6 linked regions of the Kluyveromyces lactis genome follow. The protein of the gene in region 5 purifies or fractionates together with the protein of the main gene of each other region. This does not show direct contact. Links are inferred from orthologs where the notes say so. Each region holds a gene or a part of one and is shown on either strand. Other genes may lie near its edges. The genes, in order: LSM6, LSM4, BRR2, PRP6, PRP3 and LSM8.

Region 1 (2,105 bases), about 590 kb from region 5:
CCCAGAACTAAGAAATCCGAGTCACAACTTAGAGGCTTATCACATTTGTAGCAGGAGAAACAGTGGGTGTGCCATCTATTTCCGCCTAATTCGTACGCATGACCCATAGTAATATGGTTCGTACAACGAACACATACTGACGTCTCAGCAGCCCCCTTCGGAGAGGCAGACATACGGTAATTAGTTTTGCAGATGTAGCACGCTGTGGAGGTGATGGTCTTGTAGTGTGTTCGTTTGTCCCTGGATCAATAACTTTTTGATCTAATGGATCAAAAGCTGAAAAGAAATCTAAGATTAATCTTCGAATCGAAAGTATAATAATAACAGAACACGCACAAAGAGCACGACACACCAAAAAAAAAAAAAAGTTAATAGAGAGATGTATTAGCAGCGGCTTTATACTATGATATTTTCTTGCCACGCACCGTTAGAGAGTACTATATAAGGGAAAAGAATTCCAAGCTGTTCCTCGTGGACGGAGTAAATTCCCTCAATATGAATGTTGAGATCGAAATATAGATACGAGGGTTCAATTAACTCAAGGAATGTTTTGATCGAGAGTGAATGCAGCCCTATCTTGTTAAAATCCGAAACGTTTGAAGCGAGTTGATATAAATAAATCGTGTCTCAATCTTGATTATATATATGTACAATCGGTCCTAACCAGTGCTAAATATGGAAGTCAATTAGATAGGGAAACGTAAACAGCACACCACGTCAATTATATTCTAGCTGAATTGATATAGCATATCTATCAGCTGCAGAGAGCCACTAAGGTAAATTAGTGCTGTCTCTCAACGGTTTCGAAATGTATATATGCATTGAAACAAAATCAGGAACCAGGTTTGAGAATGTTTGAACTATGTGGTGTGCAGGCGTGATTTGGAGTTCAGTTTCTTTGTTTCAAGGTCTTAGAGTTCGAAGATTTTGGCTAAAATTGGAGTCAAAGAATGCTGGTTGTTGTCGGAATGTATCCAGGAAGAACCTTTGACATTTGTTTCCAAGCTAGAGCAATATATTACTATAATCTGCGCTGTTCCCTTCCATTCATTTAATTAATTAATTTATTACTTACTGCATATCACTTAATTCACTTTACCACAGATCACGTGACTAGAACATTCTTTCCCTTTTACTTCAACGTGAACAATGAAAAGTGAACTTTGTTAATATAACGTTGAACTGATGGAGAATGATGAGAGTAGGTTCAGATGCAAGAACTACAGGCTTCTTCATATCTTTATTTCGACGCTACCAAATTTCAAAGGCATAGATTGTTAACACATCATGGAATCTAAGGCAACGGCTTCTGGCTCCTTTTTGGAGAACATCATTGGAAAACCAGTATACGTCAAGCTATTCTCAGGAATATTGTATCAAGGTAAGCTAGAATCAATTGATGGGTTTATGAACGTCACAATGTCACAAGTGTCGGAACATTATGAGGCAGAAGAGAACGGAACTTTGCATAAATATCCTTCTGAAGTATTTCTAAGGGGATCGCAGGTGTTATACATTAGCGAAAAATAGGCTTCGATTGGGCAATAAGATTGACTTCGACCAATGACTTTTGTAAGTCGATATTATAAAGTGTCCTATTTGCTCAGAAGCTCAATAACTACAATAATATGATAATACTAATAATAATTTATATACAAAAGTATATAATTGTATACTATAAAGATGGAACGTTATCAAAGCGGAAAGTGTTAAAAAATACTACGATGCACATATATAAAGCACCAAAGCATACATAAATTTAAATTCTGATTTTATTTTAAAATAATAAGAATATGTAGATATCTAATACAATAATAATATATATTAACCTTGTACCAGTGAGTTATACATTACTCTTTTCAAATTTTTATATCATGATTCTTAAAAGAGAAAATTTATTGTCATATCGTTAGAGAAAAGGAGATCAAAGAGGTTCCTTTCGTAGTTTCTTATTTATTCTGTGATAAAGAAAGCTTTCAGATCAAACAAACCGCGAACCTCATATCATGTTGTAGTTTTTTTTTGAGAATATATTAAAGAGAATAGAAGGTGGAACAAGTGAGGGCTGTACCATTCTTGTGGAACCTTTTAACCTTAATTCGGTG
Region 2 (2,557 bases), about 1.0 Mb from region 5:
GATTTCATCTCATCTTTCCTATTTGTCTGTTATAGTACGTTATTCAACATTCTCTGCTGGACAGCATTTGGATCTTTAAGTTACCTAAGCTCATTGTGGTTCATCGGTAAGCTGAATGAATATAACAAGGCTAAATAAGTTCGCCTCTTATATTTAAAGTGAGGCCAAAAAAAAAAAGTCCGGCTCTCTTCAGGAGTCTCATATTTCTCCTATATAATACTGCATATCTAGCATGGACTTTCTAAACCAAGCATTTTTGTATAGAGTAATTTAAAAAATAACAACATTTGATCTTTTCCACGGTACCCATGCTCACATACTCTTAATATATAAAGCACTGATATACTGCTTTGAACTTAAGGTTCACTAACTCTGAATCATAATTAATAGGTAGTTCTTTTAATTTCATAACCCAAATTCAGTTTTAAATCTCAAAAGTGTGAAAGGAGTAACGAGAAAAAGGTTTAGGATATCGCATCGAATGCAATCGAAACAGATGTTTTTATAGACTTTTGACCGTCCAAGCCAACAAAATAGTCTCTTTAACCGCAATAAAAGTGATTGAATATGTAACCATGTAGACACACAAATACTTAAGAATTAAATGCTGAGAAAAGAGGTTAAATCAAAATTGTGGAGTTTGATTACTATTGTTTGACGCCTGCGAATACGAAAGCTGTGGATTGGATGATGCATCGTATTGTGATCTATTTTGAATATTATAACGACGAGATCCTGCATTGTTATGGCTGTGAGTATTGTTATTATTATTATTATTATTATTATTGTTGTTGTTGTAATCCCTTCTGTTACCTGAGTTTTGATAGTTTCTTCTACCACCTCTTCTGTTACCATCCCTATTCTGATAATAATTATTGTTATTATTGTAGTTGTTATTTCTTCTTCTATCGTCTTTACCGCCTCTGTTTTGACCCCATTGTTGTTTTACCTTGTCTATGATATCATCTTGCAAATTAACATACTTGATGAAAGAACCTTTCAAATAGAAGCTTGGTAATTTCAAAGTCTCTCCACTAGCTACATGAGTGACATTGGAAAGTGTCAAGTTCATCCAATTGTCTACATCAGATAGCGTACCTTCCACAGTTTCTCCATTTTTTAGTTCAACATGCATTGTTTGACCCTTTGCATTGGTCAATAAATATAATGGAAGCATTTTATGTTATAACTTATTGATCTGTTTTACCAATTATAGTGTGCCCGTGCTGTCGTATTTCTTTAGGTATCTCAAACCGTAGTAACTTAATCGTAGGAAAGGGTGGGGCCGGAACAATATACAATATACCAAAAAATTAGGACTCTGTCTGTCTGGAGAAGGAAAAATGTGAGGGAAAAAAGTATGAATTAGACTTTGTTGCTTATCTGCGTATCTGTAGTTTGAGTTATGTAACACTCCCTAGTAGGACGAACCAAATGCATACAATTGCATTGACAATATTTAAATTCCAATTACAATATAACTTCAGTTTTTCCAAATTTCATTGAGCTGGAAAAAGCATTCTCGACATTTCATAAAATTCATTTACCGGGTAACACTTAAAAGTTTCGAATCACGTGAGTGTCCCGGGTAATACTGACACGTGAATATAATCTGATTATTGATTTTTCTCTTATTTTTTCACTTTTAAGACTGTTTCTGCCCCCCTACTCCTTCGTGTCATACGGACCCTTCTAGGCGTTTTGAAAGGTTGCCTCAGCTTTGAATATGGGAACACACTGGAGTGAGGTTTGAAATGTGAGATCTGAGATTTTTTTTTTGGTGAGGCATCTAATCTTTCTTTTCCCAATTGGGTAAAGAGATTTGATCACAGTTTAAAATAAAGATTATAATCTTTTGAAAGCAGACTTTCTCACGCACTTTACAATGTCATTTATGATTTGTGTATACCTTTGTTATTAACAGTGTCTGTAGGCTACGTGAACTTAGCTAAATATCAGAGCATTCCAGTTGAGATTGATTTGGTCTGCTACTCCGATATCTGGATACATTTTTGGGCACTGGTGGAAAAGCTAGAATAACCGTAACTGCGTGGTATATTTTACGTTGAATTTTACAAAGTGAGCGAGCTTGAGATCACATTGCCAGGAGCAGAAGCAGAAGCAGCAGCAGAAGGTGACACTCGACTCGAAACGCTTTGTTGACTCTGGCGTGCTTTTCTTTGCTTTGTTTTGTCTAAAACAATTAGGATTTCGTGTGCATTTATTTCTTTCGTGTAATTATGGAACAACACTTGTCGCATCATAGCGGCAACGTTTTTGACAAGGAATCTATCCTTCAAATGCACATGGGCACTCATCATCATTCTGAGAATGATACACTTTTGAAACCGTTCAATTCTAATTTATTAGGAGCTAATAGTGGTGCTACCAATAATTCTTCTTCATCCACGGGAGCATCCTCTTCGATGATCGATGAAAGGCAGATCGATGGGAGTTTAAAGAAAATCAGTGAGGAACCTACTATGGCGGAGACAAGTGGTTATGACAGCGAATCGGAAACTTTCATTGAAGTTGCTACATACGCGGGCGTTGATGT
Region 3 (4,383 bases), on a different chromosome or scaffold from region 5:
TTGAACCAACAACTCCCTATAGAATCTCAAATGATTTCAAAAGTTGTTGATAATCTTAATGCTGAAATAGTTCTAGGTAACGTCACCTCACTAGATGAAGCAGTTAACTGGTTGGGTTATTCCTATTTATCAGTACGGATGAAGCAATCACCTCATTTATACAACTTGCAAGGTTCTTCAGGAGACATGAGTGATGCTGAGCTCATAAGAGTCAACAGAAATATTGTGCATACGGCGTTGAATTTATTACAGAATAACGGTCTTGTAAACTATGACTCTCTTTCTAAGTCGGTACAACCAACTGAGCTAGGTAGAATATCCTCTCATTTCTACATAAGTTATTCGTCAATTGCAAAATACAACCGGGAGTTAACAATAAACAGCACTTTGATCGACATTCTGAGAATATTTGCTATGTCAGAAGAGTTTAAGAACATTACCGTAAGACAAGAAGAGAAAACTGAATTAGAGAAACTCGTCGAGCGTTGTCCAATTCCGATCAAGGAGAAGGCTACTGATTCATTAGCCAAGGCAAACATTCTACTTCAGGTGTACATTTCAAAATTACGATTGGAGGGGTTCGCTTTAAATGCGGATATGATTTACATTTCTCAGAGCGCAGGTAGACTTTTCAGAGCACTCTTCGAAATGTGCTTAAGAAAAGGATGGCCAAGACTAACCAAGCTTCTGCTTACCATCTGTAAATGCGTCGATAGCAGAATGTGGCCCACGAACTCACCATTTAGGCAATTCAAGAGATGCCCTCAAGAAATCATAAGACGAGCAGAAGCGTCTGGTTTACCCTGGAACGATTTCTTACTGTTGAAGAATGCTCATGAGGTAGGCGAAGCCTTAAGATCTCCAAAAAATGGTAAAGTTGCTTTCGATTTGCTTCAAAGATTCCCGAAGATTGGCATTCACTGCGCAATGCAGCCAGTTACAAATTCACTACTTCGTTTTGAGTTGGAACTCCAACCTACATGGATCTGGGATCTGGATTCCAGCAGCTATTCTGAAACATTCCTTGTTCTTGTCGAAGACACAGACGGTGAACAAACAATTTATCATGAGACATTGCATGTTGGGAGAAATGCAATAAACAGCATTGTGTATCTTGACTTTGTTGTATTTTTGAAGCAGAAAATGTTACCGCCGAACTATTTTGTATCCGTTATATCAGAAAAATGGCTAAACTGTGAGTACAAGATTCCTGTTATTTTGAGTGAAATAAAATTACCTAAACCATTCCCTCCTGCAATATCTGTTTCTGATTCAATTAAGAAAAGTACCAAGGAACTACAAATTGATGAATTTGAGGCGTTATACAATTTCCATTCTTTCAATAAAGTTCAAACTGAAGTTTTCGATACATTATACCATGAAACTGAAAACGCACTAATATGTGCAACAAAAGGTTCCGGTAAAACAATAATGGCAGAACTTTCATTATTGAACCATTGGAGAGAAGGCAGAGGACGTGCGATTTACATTTGTCCATTCAAAACCAAGATAACTGAACTTCTAAAGAATTGGAAAAAGCGATTCTCACATTTGGCTGGTGGAAAACTGATCAATGCTTTTTCTGGAAATTTGCAGCACGATCAAAAACAATTAGCCCAATCTCATCTAATATTAGCTACTCCGAATGAATTTGAATACCTGTCTCGTCGCTGGCCGGAAAGAAAAAACATTCAAAGAATAGAACTAATTATTTGTGATGACATCCATGAAATAGGCAACGAGATAATTGGACCGATGTATGAAATCATAATTACGAGAATGATTTTCATTGCAACACAATTGGAGAAGAATATAAGGATTGTGGGGCTTGGAACCCCACTTGCCAACGCAAAGGATTTCGGAGAATGGTTAGGTGCAAAAAAATCAAGTATTTTCAATTTTACTGCTTTAGAAAGGCAAACACCCTTGACAGTCGATATCGAAACTAGCATTTTAGTAAAAAGCCCTACTTCTAATCGAATGGCCCTAACTGAGATCGTTGAAAGTAGTAATCGTGTCGCCTCACCCGATGAAACTATAACAGTTTTCGTCACTGACAGATATGAATGCGTTTCTTTCGCGACAGAACTCGTTGGTCTCGCTGTTGCTAAAGGCATTGATCTTCTTAGAGCAGAGGAATCCAGTTTACACTCGTATCTCAACAAGGTCCAGGACAGCAACCTCAAGACACTGTTGCAAAGTGGTATAGGAATTCTATACCAAGGTATGCATTATTCCGATAGGAATGTAGTCCGTAAGCTCCATGAATACAAGGTGATATCGATTTTGGTTGCAAGTAGGGATTGTTGTTTTGATGCCCCTTCATCAAGTTTTGTCTTTGTTACTACAACTCAATATTTTGAAGGCAGGGAGAACAGATACATCGATTATCCTGTAAATACTATTCTTGAGATGATGGGAACAGCGTTTACGGCGTCAAATAAACAGCAAGCACATGCAAAACTAATCACCACAATGCAAAGGAAGGAATACTATAAAAAATTCCTTTGTGATGGGTTACCAACGGAGAGTTCTCTGCCATACCATGTTATTGATTTACTTACAACGGAGTTTGCAAACCAAACATTAGAAACCAAGCAAGACTGTATCGACCTTTTAACTTACACTTATCTATATCGTAGAATACATGCAAATCCAAGTTTCTACGGTATTCAAGATGTGACTGCAGACGAAATTTCCTCCTATTTAACAGAATTAGTAGAGGAAGCAGTAACAACCATGAAGGAAACCGAGCTTATATCAGTTGAAGGGGAAGCGAACGATTCCACAGAAATTGCAGAGGAGGTAATTTCCCCGAATAATGCCTGTCTTATTTCTGCTATCCATGCCGTAAGTTGTTTAACGATATGCAATTTTAGCCGAGCAGCATCAAGATCACTAAGAATGAGCGGTATTCTTGAAATTTTGTCTTCAAGTGAAGAGTTTAAGACATTGCCTCTTAGATTACATGATATAAAGCCATTAAGAAAATTATACGACATTTCACCTTTGAAGTTGTCCTCCGAATTCGATCCACGCTCCACAACAGCCAAGGTTTTTGTGTTATTGCAGGCCCATTTTTCAGGTCTTCATTTACCCATGGACTTATCACTTGATTTGTCTGAAATCCTTTCAAAAGCACCTAGCTTAGCAGGAACAATGGTAGATATATTGTCAATGAACGGTTATTTGAATGCCACTACTGCTATGGATTTAAGTCAAATGATTGTTCAAGGTGTGTGGGATACTGATTCACCTTTGAAACAAATTCCATTCTTTGATACAGACATCTTGGAGAAATGCAAAAACCATAATGTAGAAACAGTTTATGACGTGATGGCTTTAGAGGATGAAGAAAGAGAAGATATCATCACTTTACCGGAAAATAAGTTGAATAAAGTCGCAGAATTTGTCAACAGTTATCCAAACATTGAGTTGAAGTATGCTCTAGATATGTCAGCACCGATGAAACCTCACGACAAAAAAATGGTTACTGTAACAGTAAGTAGAGATGAAGAACCAGAAACACTAAATGTTAGCTCAAAGTCGTTGCCACATGAAAAAACTGAAGCATGGTGGATATTCATCGGTGAAAAGAGCTCCAGGCAGCTATATGCTATCAGGAAGATCGCGCTTACAAAAATGACCCAGGACTACGAATTGGAAATCGAATTGGAAGATCCTGGTGATCATGAACTAACAATATGGTGTGTATGTGATTCTTACTTGGATGCCGATAAGGAAGTAACATTTAATGTTAACATCGCATAGTAAATGCATAAATAAAAAGAAAGTACTGTATATATGCAGTGAATATAAATTAAAATAAAATTCTTTCTATAAGCAGAGTAGAATCCCTTTATCTAATCCTTCATTTCAATGTCCCCGTCATTATCCTTGACTTCTGTCACATCCGAATCAACAAACCCGTTATGTTGCTTTTTCTTAACACTTTCTTGGTGCGCCAGTAACTGTGCATGACTCCACACAGATACACCTTCTTGATCTTTTGGATCAGTTGGTTGTGCCATGGTTCGCAAAAATTGCTTAGTATTGGCGATAGCCATATCCGTGGACAAGTTCATGTCGGCATCAGATAAACCTTGTGCAATCCATTTTGGTAGTTGACTTTTCTTCCTTGCAAATCTACGGTCTGCCAACACCATTACACCGTAGTCATCTTTACCACGTAAAACTCTACCTAAGCATTGAGCTGCATGTCTCATTGCATCAAAAGATAAAAAGTCATTCTCTCGGATCTGGTAATTCTCACGTAAGAACTCTAGTCTTGCCTTAAGAATACGAGATTCTGTATACTGGAACGGAATGCCGATCATGAGTACAGTTCTTCCGTACTGATGGTCAAAATCGATACCCTCAGAC
Region 4 (4,365 bases), on a different chromosome or scaffold from region 5:
CGATGTTTTTCACTTCACCTCCGATCCCTGTCGACTACCAATACTCTTCGCAATTTCGAAGTTCCATTTTGGTTGTTCGTTTTCAAATTTTCAAATTCCACTGGAAAAAGTTCTCTTTGATAGATATAAGAGCTGACTCTTTCATAGCAGAGAATCAGATCACAACGGAAAAATACACAGAACTGCCGCATATACTGGGTTAGTTACGATTGAGGAACGGAACTTCTGACAATGCGGAAAGTCAATTTACAGTCGCATCAGTGTTGTCCCAATTTTTATTATTACAATCTTACAATCTTACATTCTATCTAATTATTGGTGTAAATTGTTGATAATGCTGTGCAAAATATCAATCGGAGAGTTTGATATGTGTAGGTATGAGTTTACTGCGGGCTCCCATAGTATACCGTACCTGGGTTCATTTTCTTTCAATTTCTTTAACGTTTTTTCTTCATTTATTTGCAAATCAACTGGATTCATGCACGACTCGCAGATGTAGAGCCATACCCATGGGTCCCCAAATTGAAGATTATTTTCCGAGGCTCTTATGAACCATTTATATGCCTTCGCGTATTGGTGTTCCTTTTGGAACACTTTTCCGATCTCAGTTATCACCATTGGATGCTCTTTTGTAGCTTCGAGAGCATCTTGGAATGTGGTTTTACGTAGTGATTTTTTAGGAAGGGTTCTGATGTTTAGACACCAGAGCCTCCAGCTGTGTGGACACGCTTTGAGACCCTGAGCGATGAGGTACGTTACTTGTTTGTTATCTTTCACTTGCAGTTCCAATGTAATGAGAGCCTCGTAGAGTGTATCGGATTTTGGATTCTTTAGTAGAGAAACGCTGAGTATTGAACGCGCTTTGCCCCAATCTTGTGTTTCCATTACCAGTCTGGAGAACTCCAAGCACACTTCTGGATCATGATTAGAAATATCCGTAGCCCTCTGTAGCACACGCTTCGCTGATGAAAGGTCCCTTTGTTGCCTGTATAGCTGTGCTTTCAAGATTAGTAAATGTTTGTCGTTTGGTTCACGTGCCAAAGCTATATCAACAGTAGAATGAGCTATTTCCAAACTGCCTTTAGATTGCAAACACTTAACGTAAAAAGGAACTAATTTATCAATGCATTCTACCAAGTGTGATTCGGCTTCTTCAAAGGAATTTATAATCTCATCCAATTTGCCATCTCTGTTCAAAATTTTGAGTTTAGCCAACCAAAACTCAGGATACGCCGAATTTGTCACCAGAGCTTTATCTAAAATCGACAACGCTTCAGTGGAACCAGAACCCCAATCCCAAACGTCTTTCGCATACATTAAAACCAAGACAGGGTATTTCTTTACCGCTTGAGAATCTGTAAAGAGGATCTTCCTGAATGTTTCGTGTAGCTCTAATTTCCGCGAAAAGTCTTCGGCGAAATTGGTGAACTCCTTCCAAATAGAGTACTTTGTTGGATATTTGATTAGGAAGGAGGAAAACAAGGTACACTGAAGTGTGGTGTCGTTTACCAACAGCTTCGAGAGACTTTGGAAATTTGAGGATGCGTCTTCAAATAAGTTATTGATGGTAGCTGTGATGATTGCTTTCGCTGTTAATGGATACAATCCTTCTGTTGATATAGCGACTGCATTTTCGAACCACTCAGTAATAGTTGGATTAACTTCCAGTTCATGAAGATCCTTTATTGCGCTAGAAATGATATTTACCAACGTATCGAGATTTGCGGTCGTTCTTTTTTCTTCGAGTTGACATTTGAGAAGCCAGTATGTGATGTCTTTTTTAATATGTTCTTCAGCAGATTTCAAGGTGTCCACTGCAGATTCGACTGATTGTAACCTTATCAACTTCAACCATAACTGCGAATCCTTCGGCACTAATTCAACTGCTTTCTTCAAAATTTTCAGCTTTTCAAGAGTGGAAGTTTCAAGATTTACCGCCACTTCCCATAATATAGAGCTTAGTGGTAGTTTAATTAGAGCCTTTCGAGTGACTTTAATTTTATCAGTATTGTGTTGTTCGAGGGCGATTGCCTTCAACCACAACTGCTCACTAAACTCGTTGAGCCTTAAGGCAACTGTAACCAACCTCTTGCAATATTCTTTATCGGATGCGTTCATGCGTATCGATTCTAACCAGATAGCTTCACTTTTAGGGCACAGTTTACAACCTTCCGCTAGCAAACTTTTGGCTCGATTGAACTGATTGGCTCTTTCTTCGATTCTTGCTGAAGAAATCCAGTTTTCTGGATTTCTTGGATGGGATTTACGATACGCGGCTAATAGGGATCTGTTTTTCCTAATGTCTTCCAAATCCGTAGATGAAATAGTGTTGTCATCTTGGTTCATTCTATTCAAGTATTCAGCATCATCCGTAAGTTGACTTTTGCTGTAATCAAAACTCTTATCTATCTGGACAGCAAGTAACTTTTCCCTCTCTTCAGTTAACTTGGATAAGTTGACATTAACCTGGAACAAAGTGTCAGGAGCAGCGAATGTTTTCCTTTCAAGTTGTTCCTCTATTCGATTCCTTTTGTTTCGTCTGGTCATATCAGATGCGTCAGGGATATCCAGCCAGTCTTGCTCAGAAAGAGTTGCTAAATTACGCTTCAAATCTACAAATTTAGAAGATAGCTTGTCTGGTTCATCATCTGGCTTCGTCTTTAGGCTTGTTTCATTGTCGATAATTTTTTTATTCTTAAGTCGCTGTTCGATCTTTTCGTACACTCTCATCTCTTGTTCGTCTTCATCTTTAACCTGTTTCTCCGATGATTCATTCGAAACTGCTGATCTGTATCTATTTGGATTCTTTGTTACAGAAGTATCTGGTGCATCTCGCCCATATCTATTCAATCTAGCAGGAACTCTTTTATCATCTTTACTTCCTCTGGTGGAAAAGCCAACCGCTCCACGACCTATACCAGCGATGTAACCAGGTGGTGGAGATTGTTTTAGGAAACTGGGAGTCTCCATGCCTATCACCGTGATAGTTGTTTACTCAGATGATTTACTAGTGAATAGTTTACTGTATGAGATGTCCTTTCGATACAAATTTTAAAGGTTTTGTTTTTAAAGATATTCTACAGATTCTTAAAACAATAGAGAATAAGCGTTGATAGAAATAAATATCGATTCTGCTTAGAAAGAATTAAATATGCAGGCTAATATATGAGGAAATTTGCAGAATCTATAATACCGAATATGTTCTATATTTGTAGCAGATAAACTATTATCTAGCTAGTGCACAAACAATTAATTAATGAAAGTTCCTAAAAGGCGCTGAGGCCATGAGAAAGAAAATATCAATCTGATGATTATGATAATTGGTAATCTCCACCGTAACGTGGTGCGTTCAAGATGATACCGTTCAAGATACCTGCAATGAGACCAGCCATTGGAAGAGTTAAGAACCAACCACTGTAACAGAAAGCGACCATTCTCCAGTTAACGGATTTCAAATCCCTGTTACAAAGACCAACGGCCACAATACCACCGACAGCAACTTGAGTAGTAGAAACAGGAATACTTAATTGTGTTGCCATAACAGTGGTAACAGCAGCACCAAGTTCAACGGAGAACCCTCTGGATGGAGATTGCAAAATCATCTTGTTACCCAAGTTCTTGATGATTCTGTAACCGTATGTCCAACAACCGAGGACCAATGCAGCGGCACAGTATGCTAAAACCCATGTGTGAACGTCAGACTTAGATTCCACAGTGTTTTTCTGCCAGATGTCATACACGGCAGCTAGTGGTGCAGTGGCGTTGGCAACATCATTGGCACCGTGAGCAAAAGACATAGTGGCGGCGGTAATAGCTTGCAAGATAGAATAGATGAATTCGATTCTGTTGTCATAGAAGGCAGATCTCTTGTACATGTCCTTGAAATCTGTTGACAAAGCACCTGTATCGTAGACCTGAGAATGAATAACATCTTGAGTCCAACCGTGAGAAGCAATCAACCAAAGTAATAGAGGCCACTTCTTTGGTCCTTGTTTTAGCAATGACCACCATAGCTGTTTGGTAGTTGGTTTTTCTTCTTGCAAAGTTTCTGTTTGCACCAATTTGATACTTTGGTTGACAGATTCCTTGTCGTTAATTTCAATATGTCCCTCTACAGTATCTCTTCCATCGGCGGTGTGGGAAGTTTCAATTTGGGTTTCATCATCTCCGGCAGTTTCATCTTCGAATCTTCTACCTTCGTAGTAATCAATGGTTAAAGATTGTCCAGCAGGTAGAGGTGGAATGTCGTCAGTGGACTTGAAGTAGAAAGTTGGGCCTCTGTAAATATCATACCATTTTAGGGTCCAGTCTCTGTGCAAGATTCTTCTTCTGTAGTATGGGTACAAGAAGATGAAGTAAACAGCA
Region 5 (3,365 bases):
AATGTTAAGAATGGTCTGTAGCAGATTCATTCCAGGGTTTTTCCCAGCAGATTACCAGCCCGAAACTAAGAGAAAGAAACCAGAACGGGTGCGTTTATTCATCTCTGAAAGTATACAGTTTTCCGAGGTCATACCAGCCCACACTTTTAAACATGCATTTTTGCTTTCATTCATTTTTTTTTTACTATACTTCAATATATGAGTACATTATATATATTTTGTTTGGAATGGGTTCATAAGTTAATGCTATTGGAACCAGTGGCATCAGCAGTATTATCTGAATCCACGCCAACGGTTCTCCGGCCTTGAGATTGCAAAGATCTTTTTAATTTTGTGGACGCCGATTGGATGTCACCGGAAGATACAGTGCTAGCCCTGTGCTGTTCTTCTAGGTCCAAAGCTTGTAGCCTTTCGTTATAATTATCCAATACTTTTCCATTTTCCGCTAATGAGTCTTGGAATACTTGCAAATCCTTCTCATCAATATCATCATCGGAAAAATTCCCTTCCGCGTCCAATTCTTGTCTGTTCAATACCTCTTCACCCTTAAGCTTGGCAACGTACGCTTCTAACCTTCTGTTAGATCTTTGTAAATGCTTCACTGCATTATTGATCTCTTTTCTGATCTCTTGTAATTCATGCTCAGACGATTCTCTAATAGCAATCACGAACTCTTGAATCTGAATTGGTCTACGAATACCAGAAGAATGTGCCATATTTCTATGTTAAGTCTATCCTTAGCTATGTATGTTTTTTCACTTTTTAGTCTTGTTTCGGTTGGAAAGTACGAGATGAATTAAGATCGGTATCCTTAACTATATATTCAAGCTAGCCTTTTATAACAATAATTTAAGCCAGAGTTTATTCTCTTACTATTTATACCCAACGGTAAGATATCACGCCCCACATATGACACCCACCCCTCCGAGGCACCATCATTGCAAATCAGAGTGTATGATGCGCACGTTACTATGCTGACTTTTTCCAGCTCCAAAGCAACACTACTTGTTAAAAATCACATCAGCTTTTCTGCTTTCCTTTCTCCTGGGCTGGATTTCCCCGCCTAAGTCCTTCTCTGGGAACTGAACTTTGTCCCTTTCAGCAAAGAGTTGAGAAACTCACGAGGAACACAAAAACAACGAGAATTAGGGGCCGCTTATGTAATTCTTTTCATCCCATAAAACAGAAAAATTGTGCTGTTTTGGCTTCCACCCATACACTACGCACAATCAGGGGTTGGTGCAATTTCGGATATATTACCCGGGCATGGTGAATTTCATCATAGGCGTTACAGAGTGAAGATGTGATTCAGATTCTATATGAGAGAGAGTTCATTGCGATGCTAGAGAAGAGATGGACAAAAGACAAATGGTGATGTGTAATAGTAACTACGGATTGTCTGGAATAATCGGCCCTTTGTACAAAAATCATATCATCATATAATGGGCAATGATAATAATACTAATAGAGGGTTAAATCGGAAATTGCATTCTGCATTGAGTGTTGAGAATGTCAATTTATTGAGATTTCAAGGTAGACGTTGTGGAAACCCATACTTGCAAGACGTACAGGCTCATGGTTTTGAGCCAAAGGCAAGAGTATCGTCTCATTGGTATGAACCGGGAGAGGTTGTCCAGCATGCTGCAAAATTAAGACAAGAGAACCGTGAAAAGTCTGAAGAAGAAAGAATACGATGGGAAGCTGAACTGGAGAAACAGCAGGAAATCGAACGGAAAATAGAAATAGGGGAACTACCTGATAAGCATGAAGAAGTTTATTTTACCGATTTATCGGACGTTCCTGATGTGGAATGGTGGGATGTTCCATATATCAAAGATGGTAGCATCCATGAGAAATATAGTTTGGATTATTCCACATTGAATTCGGACGATGAAAGTGATGATGAAGAGGAAGAGGAAGAGGAAGGTGCACAAGATAAATTCCCAAGTATTAGGTATATTCAACATCCGGTACCGATTGAAAGGCCTAGGGCAGCTGTTCCAGTGGCAGAGATTTTCTTAACGAAAAACGAACGGAAAAAGGCCAGAAGGAATACGAGGAAGTTGGTACGACAGGAGAAGGAGGAGAAAATCAAGCTTGGTATAGAACCAAAACCAGAGCCCAAGGTTAAATTATCGAATATGATGAATGTGTATGAGAATGATGCCAATATTGCGGATCCAACTCAATGGGAATCCATCGTACGGAGACAAGTGGCAGAGAGGAAAAGGAAACATTTCGAAGAAAATGAAATAAGGCATCAAGAAAGCCTGAAACGAAGGAAGGAATCCCAGTTACAAGCACACAGCAATGATAGTCCTCTAGAATACACGTGTGTTGTTTACATGTTTGACGAAATACAGAATCCTAGTATCAGATACAAAATCAAAACCAACGGTAAGCAATTGAAGTTGAAAGGATGCTGTCTACACATTCAAAATGGCAAAGGTATAATTGTAGCTTTTGGAGATGAAAAATCTATCCGCTTTTTCGATAAGTTGGTGACAAAGCGAATCAATTGGTCGGAACCATACAAAGATAGAGATACCGAAGAGACAGTACCTTGCGACGGTAAAATTACAAAGGTTTGGCAAGGATTAATTGGTGATTGTAGATTCAAGGGCTGGTTCATGCTCGATTGTAAAGATAAAAACCAGTTAAATAATATCTTAGAGCAGCACGATGCATTGACTTTTGTACCATTAGGTAAGTTTTAACAAACAATTACGTACTGAAAATGAAATCCAAGTTCGAAATCATCAAAATTTTGGAATAAAAGTAATAGTGTATGTTAAAAAAAATAAAACCGGAGTAAATCCAACGACCTACTTAGAACATTTATTTACATGGGGTGAGTAGGCAGTCCAAGTGACGCACAATGGTCAACATTATTGAGTTTTATCACTACCAACATCAAAAAAAAGTCATATTTATATAAATAATATCTCCCTTCGTCTCTCAAAATTCAATCATCAATAACAGAGAAAGATACTGGCTCATAACATCGTTCTTTAAATTTAATTCTGGTGTAACGTTCGAGACCTTTATTCGACGACCTTGGCCAAGATTTCAGAGTCTCTGAATAAAACGACTTCATCATCCTTGCCCAACTTGATTGTGGATCCACCGAATTGTGGGATCAAAACTTGGTCACCTGGTTGGACAGATGGTGTAATCTTGTTACCGTTGGAATCGGTGAAACCTGGACCAGCAGCCAACACAGTAGCTTGGTTTAATTTCTCAACGTTCTTTTCTGGCAAGTATAAACCAGAAGCAGTCTTGGCTTCGGCCTTGATTCTTTGCACCAGAACACGGTCCAACAATGGAACAATAGATTTAGCAGACTTCAATAGAGTGGACATTTT
Region 6 (2,220 bases), about 640 kb from region 5:
CACCAGTTGTTACATCTGAAACAAGTGAACCGTTCGTTGAAAGAGTACGGACAATTGCTATGGAATAATGAGTCATTGGATACTGTCGGTATCAAGTTCGCAACTGACGACACCAACAATGTATATAGGTGGAGGTTACAACAAGAGCATGCTATGCTAGCATCTCAGGGCGAAGGAATGACTGATGCGCAAGTGAAGGCGTTTGTTGATAGATATATGCCTTGTTATGAACTATATTATAAAAACTTCATTGACCCGAACACCGCGTTCGGCAAAACAAATCTTACCATTGCCATCGATGCCGACAGAAATGTGGTCAATCATTTCATTTCGCACTCTTGAACTTCTTCCCAGGGGATTAATACCCTGAGTCGTTGTGTCTGGTTTTGATTTAGGTGTTGAGATTCAGGCGTAGCGATAGATTCATGTCTCAATCTTTTCTCAAGCAACGCCTGCCTCTTGCTAGCTAACCTCATATCTTCATGCAACGTCTGGATGGCATCCGTGAGGTCTTGCATTTGTTGCACGACATTGAACATGACATTTTCATTCATGGTAAATCTGTCCATCCATTCTCGATGTCGTTTATCCATCTGCTTCGTAATATTATCCGCTAAAAGTTGCAAACTTTCACCGCTTGATGCCTTTAATTGATCCAAACGAGACTTTACTTCAGAGACAATCTCCGTTCCCGTTTCTTGATTACCATCTAAATACACACAGAAATAACGGCGACTTCTCGGAGTCTCATCCGTTATTTTCCTAGTTAGTAAAAACTGACCGTAGTGACTCTTACAAAGAATCATTCCTAAAGGGTATCAATCAACGACCAATCCACGTAGATAGAACTAAGTAAATGCCCTTATACTAAGTAGATATTCCTTTCATTGTGCATAGAAACCATACCTTTTCTACTGTCAAGTTCTGCTTGGAATAACTTTCGCGAATGGCTCAATTCATCCACGTTCTCCTTGATAATCTTGAATAGACTCTCAGACGTGTCCCGCAACTGCACAGTCTCCAACTCTAGACGACTAGTCCATTCTAAGATCTGTTTGTCGGCGTCTGGAATCTTTTTAAAGGGAGAAGACCCGTAATCGGTCTCACTTTCATTCTCTTCCGCCATTTCAACCGTGATTCGGAGCTTCTAACAATATTAGCCACAACACAACTCTAGATAACTGCTGTAGAAGCCTGTATACTTCTGTTATGATGTGTGATTCTTCTTTGTTGAAGATGTTGTTGTTATTGATAATAGAGAATCTTCAAATAGAAAACATTACTTTCAAATTATAATAGTAACGAAGAAAAGATAACGATCCATCGGAGCGAAGATATCCACATAACTGCCCCCTTGTTTGCTAGAACAGTGAATGGACAATGAGTGCTCTATTGAAAGATTATTTGGACAAGAAGGTGATGTTGGTCAATGTCGATGGAGACACATACTATGGTGAAATGAAAGGGTTTGATCATGCGGGAAACATGATTCTTTTAAAGGACAGCAAGATATGCATTATACGGAGTAGTGAAGTGGTATTATGTGGGCTGATAGATGATATACCAGAAGAAAAAGAACTGGCAAAACTTCAGAAGTTCCCAGCGTGTAAGAATAAGTTACCGTTTAAAGAAGAAATAGACATTTGGAGTGAGCGATGGGCTAACAGATGAAATATAAATAATGTTATACACAGCTGCTGGTCTCCCTTTCATTGACCGAGTTCTTTCATTTTGAGAGCTACTTCAAAGAGGTAATCGATGGACTCGATGTATATCTTGGCTTTCTTTGGCGTGGGGCCCCAAACGAAGAGTCCATGTCTTTTCACCAGTACCGCACATGCATTTGGATAATCCTTAATCATTTGCTTCAACGCTGGCATGAGATCCTGTTCTTCTGGAGCGTTATCGATGATTGGAATACGTAGGGTATCAACGTTCCTCAAATTGGTACCGTCACCTTTGGGTATCGCCTTGATTTGTTCAATGTCCTTGATGGTAAACTCCTTCTCATATATCATTGAACAAAGCACCGCATTGATAGAGTGCGTGTGTATGACGCACGAGGCACCCAGCGTCTTGAATAGCTCCAGGAATAACGGTGTGCACGCAGAGGGTTTCAATCCAGGCGCACCACATTGATAAGTATCGTCCTGTATATTGTATTTAACAATTTGTTCAGGTTCCAACAGTTCTTTCTCAATGCCACTTGGTGATATGTAT

What was found.
Region 1: the proteins of PRP3 (region 5) and LSM6 purify together in Saccharomyces cerevisiae (affinity purification with mass spectrometry; 3 studies listed by BioGRID). This does not show direct contact. The link is inferred for Kluyveromyces lactis from reciprocal best matches to the Saccharomyces cerevisiae genes PRP3 and LSM6.
Region 2: the proteins of PRP3 (region 5) and LSM4 purify together in Saccharomyces cerevisiae (affinity purification with mass spectrometry; 3 studies listed by BioGRID). This does not show direct contact. The link is inferred for Kluyveromyces lactis from reciprocal best matches to the Saccharomyces cerevisiae genes PRP3 and LSM4.
Region 3: the proteins of PRP3 (region 5) and BRR2 purify together in Saccharomyces cerevisiae (affinity purification with mass spectrometry; 8 studies listed by BioGRID, with this or other methods). This does not show direct contact. The link is inferred for Kluyveromyces lactis from reciprocal best matches to the Saccharomyces cerevisiae genes PRP3 and BRR2.
Region 4: the proteins of PRP3 (region 5) and PRP6 purify together in Saccharomyces cerevisiae (affinity purification with mass spectrometry; 5 studies listed by BioGRID). This does not show direct contact. The link is inferred for Kluyveromyces lactis from reciprocal best matches to the Saccharomyces cerevisiae genes PRP3 and PRP6.
Region 6: the proteins of PRP3 (region 5) and LSM8 purify together in Saccharomyces cerevisiae (affinity purification with mass spectrometry; 4 studies listed by BioGRID, with this or other methods). This does not show direct contact. The link is inferred for Kluyveromyces lactis from reciprocal best matches to the Saccharomyces cerevisiae genes PRP3 and LSM8.

What each region holds. Positions count from the first base shown.
Region 1 is NC_006041.1:232,585-234,689, reverse strand, and holds LSM6 (U4/U6-U5 snRNP complex subunit LSM6), read left to right. Parts: upstream 1-1,287; coding exon 1,288-1,530; downstream 1,531-2,105. Other genes in the region: GTPase-activating protein RGA2, read right to left, coding at 1-173. UniProt on the Saccharomyces cerevisiae protein: Component of LSm protein complexes, which are involved in RNA processing and may function in a chaperone-like manner. Component of the cytoplasmic LSM1-LSM7 complex which is involved in mRNA degradation by activating the decapping step.
Region 2 is NC_006041.1:1,855,007-1,857,563, reverse strand, and holds LSM4 (U6 snRNA complex subunit LSM4), read right to left. Parts: upstream 1,178-2,557; coding exon 626-1,177; downstream 1-625. Other genes in the region: TMN3 (Tmn3p), read left to right, coding at 1-138; SBF complex DNA-binding subunit SWI4, read left to right, coding at 2,241-2,557. UniProt on the Saccharomyces cerevisiae protein: Component of LSm protein complexes, which are involved in RNA processing and may function in a chaperone-like manner. Component of the cytoplasmic LSM1-LSM7 complex which is involved in mRNA degradation by activating the decapping step.
Region 3 is NC_006039.1:1,579,140-1,583,522, reverse strand, and holds the end of BRR2 (ATP-dependent RNA helicase BRR2), read left to right. Parts: coding exon 1-3,771; downstream 3,772-4,383. Other genes in the region: TFIIH/NER complex ATP-dependent 5'-3' DNA helicase subunit RAD3, read right to left, coding at 3,864-4,383.
Region 4 is NC_006042.1:396,216-400,580, reverse strand, and holds PRP6 (U4/U6-U5 snRNP complex subunit PRP6), read right to left. Parts: upstream 2,971-4,365; coding exon 313-2,970; downstream 1-312. Other genes in the region: PHO89 (Pho89p), read right to left, coding at 3,312-4,365. UniProt on the Saccharomyces cerevisiae protein: Participates in pre-mRNA splicing. Part of the U4/U5/U6 tri-snRNP complex, one of the building blocks of the spliceosome.
Region 5 is NC_006041.1:826,802-830,166, forward strand, and holds PRP3 (U4/U6-U5 snRNP complex subunit PRP3), read left to right. Parts: upstream 1-1,442; coding exon 1,443-2,717; downstream 2,718-3,365. Other genes in the region: TMA17 (Tma17p), read right to left, coding at 234-716; HSP10 (Hsp10p), read right to left, coding at 3,045-3,362.
Region 6 is NC_006041.1:1,467,209-1,469,428, reverse strand, and holds LSM8 (U4/U6-U5 snRNP complex subunit LSM8), read left to right. Parts: upstream 1-1,380; coding exon 1,381-1,671; downstream 1,672-2,220. Other genes in the region: TDA10 (putative ATP-dependent kinase), read left to right, coding at 1-342; methylthioribulose 1-phosphate dehydratase MDE1, read right to left, coding at 1,710-2,220. UniProt on the Saccharomyces cerevisiae protein: Component of the nuclear LSM2-LSM8 complex, which is involved in spliceosome assembly. The LSM2-LSM8 complex plays a role in the biogenesis of the spliceosomal U4/U6-U5 tri-snRNP complex by accelerating PRP24-mediated annealing of U4/U6 di-snRNA.